2 linked regions of the Saccharomyces cerevisiae S288C genome follow. Changing the gene in region 1 together with any one later gene gives a genetic interaction. Each region holds a gene or a part of one and is shown in the gene's direction. Other genes may lie near its edges.

What was found.
Region 2: of STE20 (region 1) and CDC42, extra expression of one rescues a mutant of the other (dosage rescue), as found in Saccharomyces cerevisiae (7 studies listed by BioGRID, with this or other methods).

What each region holds. Positions count from the first base shown.
Region 1 is NC_001140.6:94,618-100,405, reverse strand, and holds STE20 (mitogen-activated protein kinase kinase kinase kinase STE20), read left to right. Parts: upstream 1-2,468; coding exon 2,469-5,288; downstream 5,289-5,788. Other genes in the region: mitochondrial 37S ribosomal protein uS2m MRP4, read right to left, coding at 3-1,187; YHL005C (uncharacterized protein), read left to right, coding at 1,186-1,578; SHU1 (Shu1p), read left to right, coding at 1,611-2,063. UniProt on the Saccharomyces cerevisiae protein: MAP4K component of the MAPK pathway required for the mating pheromone response, haploid invasive growth and diploid pseudohyphal development. Links the pheromone response G-protein beta gamma subunits to downstream signaling components.
Region 2 is NC_001144.5:603,712-608,907, reverse strand, and holds CDC42 (Rho family GTPase CDC42), read left to right. Parts: upstream 1-4,120; coding exon 4,121-4,696; downstream 4,697-5,196. Other genes in the region: EST1 (Est1p), read left to right, coding at 1-1,483; BNA5 (kynureninase), read left to right, coding at 1,789-3,150. UniProt on the Saccharomyces cerevisiae protein: Involved in development of cell polarity during the cell division cycle, and essential for bud emergence. Affects signaling in the pheromone-response pathway through the STE20 protein kinase.

The sequences.
Region 1 (5,788 bases):
GTTCATTTTTCGTTATTTCTGGCCAAGCGATTTTGCAAGCCTCTTTGGCCAGCTCTCGCCAAGACTCCTAGTAAGAAATTGACAGATCTCAATGAATCATCGTTACCTGGGATAGGGTAGGTCACCAAAGAAGGTTCGGAGTCAGTATCGATGATTGCGATAGTTGGGACCCTTGATTTAATTGCTTCTAACAAAGCGTTTCTATTTTCTGTGGGATTTAATACGACCAGCAAGTCAGGCTTAACCTGCTTTGATGTTTCATTCGGTGATAACGCTCTTTCGGTGGGATTGTCATTAGAGTCGATTTCCTGCTTCTCCCAGATACCTGAAATTTCTGTAGAATTCGTCAAAGTACCCGGGATCCATCTGGTAGACACATAATAACCATGTGTCTTCTTAGCAGCTTCCTCGAGCCCTCTTTTCTGGCCTTGTCTTGTACCCAGAAATAGGATAATGCCACCGGATTCCGAAACGCCCTCTACTACCTTGGCGGCTCTCTTCAAATAGGACAAAGTTTGGTTTAGATCTATTATGTGAATACCTTTATATTCACCGTATATGTAGGATTGTGTGGAAGACCTCCAAAGTGAGGTAGACTGGCCCAAGTGAACACCAGCAGACATTAAGCTCTCAACAGTAATGTTTTCTGGGAGGGGCGGATAGAAAATGTCCTTATGAGGATAGTAAACCTTCGAAATAGTGGCACCCAATTTAGCGGTACGCATGGAATGGTTTAGTTGACGCAAGAAAAGTTCTTGAGAGGAATATGGTTTGTCATTGGCCGAAGGTATAAGGTTAGGGTAAGGCTTGGTTGGCGTGGCTGCTGCTGTCGTTGTAGAAGATTGTCCATCTAATGTCTTGCTGTCAAACAACTTGTTCAACAGAGCATAATTTCTGAAAAAGTCACTCAATTCAGCCTCCAGCTGCTGTTCTTTGTCAGAGAGTTTGTCTTGCTCTAATGACTTTTTCAACTCAGGTAATATTTCATCTTCTGGTACCTGAGATAGAGACTTCAATTCTGATCTAATTTCATCATACAAAAGTTTCTGTTGCAACAGCATCACCTCATCGTTATTGTTAGGGGTGTTGGCCGCACCGGATGCTGACGACTGAAACCTTTTGGTAAGGGAAGGGTTCCTCAATAAGGAAAGACGTCTGAAATTCCTCGCAAAAACGTGTCTCTGCATGAGAAAAGAGTCGTTTCTCACTTTTTATTTCTCGAATCACCTGTATTTGTGCCCCGCGATAATCAGGCTCTCGAGCGTATGTACACTTGCCAGAACTGATTATTATTTACCATCAAATATAGCAGTGACCTACGACATACAAATTTCATCTCTCGGATTCACTTACCGAATTGATTTTTTTCTTGCACTCTTTTCTGACCCGGCACGGCCTTTTCTTACCGAGATAAACAGGAAAATAGGGCAGTATGCGTGTGTTATACGTGAGAGAGAGCAAGCGGGTGAGTATTCGTTTCATTACAGTTTATGCATTAACATAAACGTATACATATTACACATACACATATACATAGATAGATACATATACGCATATATTAATGCTCAGGTGCAATAACGGGTGCAACAACAGCAGCAGCAGGATACAATATGCAGTTTGAAGAGCGGTTGCAACAGCTAGTAGAAAGCGATTGGAGCCTGGATCAGTCAAGCCCAAACGTACTGGTGATAGTCCTTGGAGACACTGCCAGGAAGTACGTAGAGTTAGGAGGACTGAAGGAGCACGTGACTACGAACACTGTGGCAGGTCACGTGGCAAGCCGGGAGCGGGTATCCGTAGTTTTTTTGGGCCGGGTAAAGTACTTATACATGTACCTCACCCGGATGCAAGCGCAGGCGAATGGTCCGCAATACTCTAATGTACTCGTCTATGGATTGTGGGATCTCACCGCGACACAAGATGGACCGCAACAGCTGCGGCTACTTAGCCTTGTGTTACGGCAGTGCCTCAGTCTGCCATCTAAAGTTGAATTCTATCCAGAACCGCCTTCTAGTAGCGTGCCTGCCCGGCTATTGCGATTCTGGGACCATATTATCAGATAGCTGCATTGTGTTACATGCGATATCGTAGAAGACGATAGAACGAAAAAGAAACGTTAATCTTTTTTTCCTTTTTTTTTCGATTAAAAAAAAAAAATTTTCGCCTCGTGGCCCGAAACACGGCCAAGAGAGGGAATTCGAAAGTCTACCGCTTTTGGCAGCTGAAAAATTCAGAAAGTCACCTGGCCAGAGAGGAAAAATACGAAACCAAAAAGAGGCATCCGTAAATTCGCATTAGCAACGCATGCTTACATAGATACTCACATACTACACACACTTACATACTTTCTTAAAGACATACATCCGTACGTACAATTAGAGCGAGGTAGCAAGCAACCCAAACTTCTTCCCTTCACTGCCTCACACCCCATCCTAAATATCCCACAAGATCCTCGACTAATACAAGAAATGAGCAATGATCCATCTGCTGTATCGGAACTACCAGACAAGGACAGTCTTGATAACGGTATCAGCAATGACAATGAAAGGGCCATGGGCGGCAATGGCGATGGCGGCGATGGATTACGATTACCAAGGACCACTGGAACTTTGAACGTCAATGCCTTACAAAAAGGCACTAATGCTGCCCATGAAGCTGGTGGATACAAATCCATGGATCCTGCGAAGAACGCGGAGACAACCAATGATGATGACAATAATGTCGTTTCACTAGATGATCCTATTCAATTTACCCGAGTATCTTCCTCCTCTGTCATCAGTGGAATGTCTTCATCCATGAGTCCTCATTCTAACATCGATGAAACCAAATCTCTAGAAGCAGTCACTCCAAACATAAATACCAGCAATATAACCCCGGATCATTCTGCTGACAACACATTTTCTACCATAAATGCGTCCGAGTCAGATCACCAGTTTAATGACACTTTACTATCAAAACTGTCGTTAACAGATTCTACAGAAACTATAGAAAATAACGCGACAGTGAAGCACCAGCAGCCAGTTGCATCTTCCACAGTAAACTCGAATAAGAGCTCCACTGATATACGAAGGGCTACACCAGTGTCCACTCCCGTTATCTCTAAACCATCGATGACAACCACGCCAAGACAGATCAATTCAGCTTCCCATTCGCTTTCGAACCCTAAGCATAAGCAACATAAACCAAAAGTTAAACCGTCCAAGCCTGAAGCAAAAAGTAAACCGGTTTCTGTGAAAAAAAGCTTTCCTTCGAAAAATCCTTTAAAAAACTCCTCTCCACCTAAAAAGCAAACAGAAAAATCGTATTATTCTTCCTCTTCGAAAAAAAGGAAAAGCGGTTCAAATAGTGGTACACTAAGAATGAAAGATGTCTTTACGTCCTTTGTACAGAATATAAAGAGAAATTCTCAGGATGATAAAAGGGCCTCATCGTCGTCCAATAATTCTTCCTCATCTTCTATAACCACCGCTTTGAGGATATCTACGCCATACAATGCCAAGCATATCCACCATGTGGGCGTGGACTCCAAGACTGGTGAGTACACAGGTTTGCCGGAGGAATGGGAAAAATTGTTGACTTCTAGTGGTATTTCCAAAAGAGAACAACAGCAAAACATGCAAGCAGTCATGGATATTGTCAAATTCTATCAGGATGTCACGGAAACAAACGGTGAAGATAAAATGTTCAAGACTTTCAACACAACCACAGGATTGCCGGGAAGTCCTCAAGTTTCAACACCGCCTGCAAACTCATTCAATAAATTTCCTCCGTCGACAAGTGATTCGCACAATTACGGTTCCAGAACAGGTACACCAATGTCCAATCACGTCATGTCTCCAACCTTAAATACAGATTCTAGTTCAGCAAACGGGAAATTCATACCAAGTAGACCGGCTCCTAAGCCCCCATCTTCTGCGTCCGCTTCAGCTCCAATTATAAAATCACCCGTCATGAATTCTGCCGCCAATGTTTCGCCCTTGAAGCAGACTCATGCACCTACAACTCCGAACAGGACCAGCCCAAACAGGTCCTCAATATCAAGAAATGCCACTTTAAAAAAAGAGGAGCAGCCACTACCACCAATACCTCCAACCAAATCCAAAACGTCTCCAATCATCTCCACAGCTCACACACCACAGCAAGTTGCTCAATCGCCAAAAGCGCCGGCGCAAGAGACGGTAACGACACCTACTTCGAAGCCAGCTCAAGCAAGAAGCTTGTCTAAAGAATTAAATGAGAAAAAGAGAGAGGAAAGGGAAAGACGTAAAAAACAACTATATGCCAAATTGAACGAAATTTGCTCAGACGGTGACCCAAGTACAAAATATGCCAATTTAGTAAAAATTGGTCAAGGTGCATCAGGTGGTGTTTATACTGCTTATGAAATAGGTACGAATGTCTCAGTGGCCATTAAGCAAATGAATCTCGAAAAGCAACCAAAAAAGGAGCTAATCATCAATGAGATTCTGGTCATGAAGGGTAGCAAACACCCTAATATAGTTAATTTCATTGATTCTTACGTTTTAAAAGGCGACCTTTGGGTCATTATGGAATACATGGAAGGTGGCTCCTTAACTGATGTGGTCACCCATTGTATTTTGACAGAAGGTCAAATTGGTGCCGTTTGTAGAGAAACTTTGAGTGGGTTGGAATTTTTACATTCTAAAGGTGTTCTTCACAGAGATATCAAATCCGATAACATCCTATTGTCCATGGAAGGGGATATTAAGTTAACGGATTTCGGTTTTTGCGCTCAAATCAATGAATTGAACTTGAAAAGAACTACTATGGTGGGAACGCCTTATTGGATGGCGCCTGAAGTGGTTTCTAGGAAAGAATATGGCCCAAAAGTAGATATCTGGTCGTTGGGTATCATGATCATTGAAATGATCGAGGGGGAGCCTCCATATTTAAATGAAACCCCGCTAAGAGCACTGTATTTAATTGCTACAAATGGTACACCCAAGTTAAAGGAACCCGAGAATCTATCGTCAAGCTTGAAAAAATTCCTTGATTGGTGTTTATGTGTGGAGCCCGAAGATAGAGCAAGCGCTACGGAATTGCTTCATGATGAATATATCACGGAGATAGCTGAAGCCAATTCCTCATTGGCCCCGCTAGTCAAGTTAGCAAGATTGAAGAAAGTAGCTGAGAACATGGATGCTGATGAAGATAATGACGACGATAACGACAACGAGCATATTAATAAGACAAACAATTGTGACGACAATAACGATAGCAAAGAAACCGTAAATTTGGACGTAACTGAAGATGATAAACAAAAGTAAACGTAGCAAGCAGGGTACACCTTATTATCGACAAAGTATATACACAGTTGTGACTGGCATAAAAATTCTTTTCATATATCTTATCGTGTATATTTGGACATTTTATAACACATCCCACTCTAATTCACAACTTCATTAACGAAATTTAAATAAATCACGACAACAGTTTTGCTTAAAACTGAGGAATATTGAAACCAACTCAAATTCTTCCTAATTTCAGGCGTATAAAAATAACAAAGTCTCATCGAGTGTCGGGTACCATTACACGAACATCTGTCTGCGTTCTATGTAACGAAGGAGAGGTATTATCCAATTTTGGAAATATCCGTAATATTGTCCTTAGTGCACGAACTATATTATCCCGCAAATTCAGGGAAAAGAAAAGAAGTAGAAAAAAAAAAATACCATGGGAGTCAGTTCTTGTTCAGCTGAGAGAATTACGCTTGTTTCTTATTTCCCACATATACGAGAAATTCCTACCGATATAACATCCTCTCTCG
Region 2 (5,196 bases), on another chromosome or scaffold:
ACTACTAAACAAGCCGTCTAACAAACCCAAGAGTGTGGAAGGTTTTGAGAAGTCTATTAGGTACTTGAATATTGCCTCACTCTATCTCCCAGCCGTTGGAGATACTTATTTTCAACGAGCGAAAATTTACTTGATCACTGGGAAATTCTCACTGTATTTCTTTGAATTAGTAAGAGGAGCATTGGTAAGGATTCCGTCTAAATGTGCGTTAAACAATTTGAAAGATTTCATTTTGACTCCTGATTTTCCGGAAAGAAGACGTCTGATGAAAAAATTGGCAATTCTTGTGTCAAAAGATCTCAAAGGTGAGAAATCATTCTTTGAAGGTCAAATTGTTTTGCAATTTCTATCGATAGTAGAACACACTTTGGTTCCACAGTCATGGAACGCATCACGTGCTTCTAATTGTTGGTTATTGAAAGAGCATTTACAAATGGCTGCATTAAAGTATCATTCAGGTAATATTAATGTTATACTTGAAAACTTGGCTGCCACAATGGGAAGTTTCGATCTTATGTTTACAACTCGAAAAAGTAAGGAACAAAAGAACAAACTCAAATATGCAGATTTGAGTGAGCGCCAGGTTTTTTTTTTAGACTTGAGCTTTGATTTTATTGCTAATATCATAGACGTCGTCATCAAACCCTCCTGGCAAAAAAACATGGAAGACTTTCGATATCTAGCCATTATTCGTTTGCTTATGTGCTGGATTAAGTCATATAGATCTATTTTGCAGTACACTCACAGACACAGGAAGTTTTGCACTTCATTCGCCTTGTTGCTGAACGACTTGATAAATAGTCCACTGAATTGTTCAGGAAATATATATAGCCACAGGCCGAAAAGAAGCTATCTTTTTAGAGAAGATATTATTTTCAGGGAATTTTCTTGCATTAACTTTGCACTAACAGATTTTAATGACGATTATGTGTATGATTCTCCCGACATGATTAATAATATAATTGGATGCCCTACATTGACTAAAGTGCTTTCTCCAAAAGAAGAATGTGTTCTGCGAATTAGATCAATAATATTTTCTGGCATGAAATTTTTAGAGAAAAATGACACCGGCGTCATATGGAATGCCAGCAAATATAAGTTTGATTTAATAAGCCCAAATATTAAAATAAAACGCCAAATAGCATTATCGGAAATTTCCTCCAAAATAAATGTAAAAACACAACAGGAAAGAGTAGTCTCTTCGAGAAAAGTTGAGGCCAAAAGAGATGAACAACAGCGCAAAAGAGCCGGGAAAATAGCTGTGACAGAACTGGAAAAACAATTTGCAAATGTCCGGAGAACAAAAAAATTGTCTCCGCTCCCAGAAAAAGATGGCGTTTCTTCTGAGTTGGTAAAACATGCTGCTTCACGAGGGAGAAAAACTATCACTGGCCCACTATCCTCTGATTTTCTCTCATATCCAGACGAAGCAATTGATGCTGATGAGGACATCACCGTCCAAGTGCCAGATACTCCTACTTGAGAGAACAAGTAATGGTGAGGGAAAAAATCATAATATGAAATATATTATGACGACGTCAATTAACGTCGTCCACGCCTGTCGTCGTCAACCCACGAAAATATGGGGGCGGTTTTTATAACGGTTATTAAAACGACGGGATGCCGTCTACGGCACGGACAAACCCATCGCTTTGGAAATAGGTGACTGCGCTTGAAAAACATAATTATTTATTAGCATAATAAATTCAAGACAGCAAATATATATGCTGTCAATACGTACATATTAAGCCTAAATATTCTGTGGAAAAAAGAAACAAACTGGTAATTATGGAGAAAGCTTTGGAATTAGACGGAGAATATCCGGAATCTCTGAGGGATGAATTCAACATCCCTACATTTAAATCCATGGGACTATCGTCCGACGATAAGCCTGTGACGTACTTATGCGGGAATTCTTTAGGTTTGATGCCGAAGTCAACTAGGAATTCAATTAATGCTGAGCTAGATGCGTGGAGCGATTGTGCTGTGGAATCGCATTTCAAACATCCTGAAGAAGCCAGAGGAAAGGTGCCTTGGGTCAGCATTGACTTACCTATTCTTCCACTACTAGCCCCCATCGTGGGTGCTCAAGAAAATGAAGTTGCAGTAATGAATAGTCTCACTGCAAATTTGAATTCATTGTTAATTACGTTTTATAAACCTACTGAGAAAAGATTCAAGATCCTTTTTGAAAAGGGCTCCTTTCCATCAGACTATTATGCTTTCTACAACCAGTGCAAAATTCATGGAATTTCGGAACCTGAGAATGTTTTTATTCAGATCGAGCCACGCGAGGGAGAGACTTATATCAGAACTCAAGATATCCTGGATACCATAGAGGTAAATCAAGATGAATTGGCGCTGGTCTGTTTGTCAGGTGTTCAGTATTACACGGGGCAATATTTCGATATTGGCCGAATCACCTCATTTGCCCACCAATTCCCCGACATATTGGTTGGATGGGATTTAGCACACGCTGTAGGGAACGTCCCATTGCAACTTCATGATTGGGGTGTTGACTTTGCCTGTTGGTGTTCTTACAAGTACTTGAATGCCGGGCCTGGTGGAATTGGTGGCTTATTTGTCCACTCGAAGCATACTAAACCAGACCCTGCTAAGGAAAGTTTGCCAAGATTAGCTGGTTGGTGGGGCAATGATCCTGCTAAGCGATTTCAAATGCTGGAAGTATTCGAGCCGATTCCAGGAGCATTGGGATTCAGGCAATCTAATCCAAGCGTTATTGACACAGTGGCATTGAGAAGTTCATTGGAATTATTTGCGAAGTTTAATGGTATTAATGAAGTTCGTAAAAGATCGTTGTTGCTGACGAACTATATGACGGAACTGTTGGAAGCCTCCAAGTATTACAAACACCCTTTAAGGATCGAGAAATTACCATGTTTTTTTACAATATTAACTCCAACAAGCACAGATGAAGAACATGGCGCCCAATTGTCACTTTACTTCGATTCTGACACTGGAAAAGAGGATATTATGCCCAAAGTTTTCCAATATTTGCATGACCATGGTGTCATTGGCGATGCAAGAAGACCAAACGTAATTAGATTGGCTCCTGCTCCCTTATATAATACATTTTCAGATGTATACATTGCGGTGAATGCACTAAATGAGGCGATGGATAAGTTGTAGTCCTAGAGTGACCGCATCGCCTTCATCTTCTTTTGGATATTATATATGACGTAGTTTGAAATTCGTATACTTACTGATAGCGAACCTATAAATTTATACTTTCTTTCCAAGAATTAAAATAAATATCTGGGCCCGTGTATTACTTACCAGTTGCCGTGCATAGTCGTGAATCTTCTTTCATTTATCAACCTTCTTCCAATAATGAAGCTAACTTATCAGTGGTAGTACTGTTGAACGAAACAAGCCGGAACTCAAAAGGGTAATTTCGTGAAAAACAATCATCTACGGTATAAATAACAATTTAATTTACGTCTCTTTCGAAAATGCTCGTGTAGCTCAGTGGTTAGAGCTTCGTGCTTATAGCAACATTCGGTTTCCGAAGTTTCTGTGCCAAAGACCTTTCAAACAGGCCTTTAAAAGCAACGCGACCGTCGTGGGTTCAATCCCCACCTCGAGCACTTTCTCTTTTTTTTTTAAAAAAAGTTGCATTATTTCTATCAACTGTTGTAGCTACGTTACACCTAATTTTGTATTGTAGACTGTTAGATAATCCACATATACAGGTAAATACGGCACATTGTCTTCTAAACATCGCATTAAAGATGTCTTCCACCGTCGATTCAAGGGTCATTCAATACGGGTAATACTGCTTCCATTGGGCCCTTCCAAATGAAACAAGATACGGGAAAAAGTGATAAAAAAAAGCAAACAAGGTTGATTGATCGATGATAGACGCGATTCTTGGAAAAGGCAAGAGCAGCGTTTTGATAAATAGGTTCCAGGTGTACCGAGATATACTGATTATCCTTCTCTGTCATTCTTCACTTTTTGCAATAGGTTTCCTTTGTCGCAAAAAATTATATTCGTTATTTATTATACTATTCTATTTTCCTGAGGAGATAGGTTAACAAACGAATTAGAGAAGCAAAACTTATAAAACAAGAAATAAACGTATTAGCTCTTCCACAAAATGCAAACGCTAAAGTGTGTTGTTGTCGGTGATGGTGCTGTTGGGAAAACGTGCCTTCTAATCTCCTATACAACGAATCAATTTCCAGCCGACTATGTTCCAACAGTGTTCGATAACTATGCGGTGACTGTGATGATTGGTGATGAACCATATACGTTAGGTTTGTTTGATACGGCCGGTCAAGAAGATTACGATCGATTGAGACCCTTGTCATATCCTTCTACTGATGTATTTTTGGTTTGTTTCAGTGTTATTTCCCCACCCTCTTTTGAAAACGTTAAAGAAAAATGGTTCCCTGAAGTACATCACCATTGTCCAGGTGTACCATGCCTGGTCGTCGGTACGCAGATTGATCTAAGGGATGACAAGGTAATCATCGAGAAGTTGCAAAGACAAAGATTACGTCCGATTACATCAGAACAAGGTTCCAGGTTAGCAAGAGAACTGAAAGCAGTAAAATATGTCGAGTGTTCGGCACTAACACAACGCGGTTTGAAGAATGTATTCGATGAAGCTATCGTGGCCGCCTTGGAGCCTCCTGTTATCAAGAAAAGTAAAAAATGTGCAATTTTGTAGTCATATTAGTATATGCCCATCTTTTCTTAATCTATATCTAAAATTAACTTATATATACACCTTCCTATCCTTTTATTATCGTTGTATTTCATTTTTTCGCTTTGCTCAGAGTTGATTCTCTTTGTTTCTTGCGCCAGGATCATCCGTCTGTTCAAGGCGGAGTAGTGCAAAAAAGTCGAGCCGTCAAGCCCCAAACGTTCAATACTTCCATGTTCTTCAACGCTAAACGCGACATTTGCGAGTCCTACCACGTCTTCTCCGTTTACGGGCAAAAACACCTCTTAACATCAAAAATTTGGCTTTCGTGCTTTTTTCTGAAATATATTCGTTGCATAGACACGGTATGCATATGAAACATTCAGGCTAGCAATCAATACTTAAACCCTTTACGGGCGTGCATGATGTATCAGGAAACCAGTTTGAGAATGTCGCCCACCAAGCTCCATGGAAAGGCGCAAACCAATTACGCGGAACACAAAAATGGGCCTTTTTTTGATCGC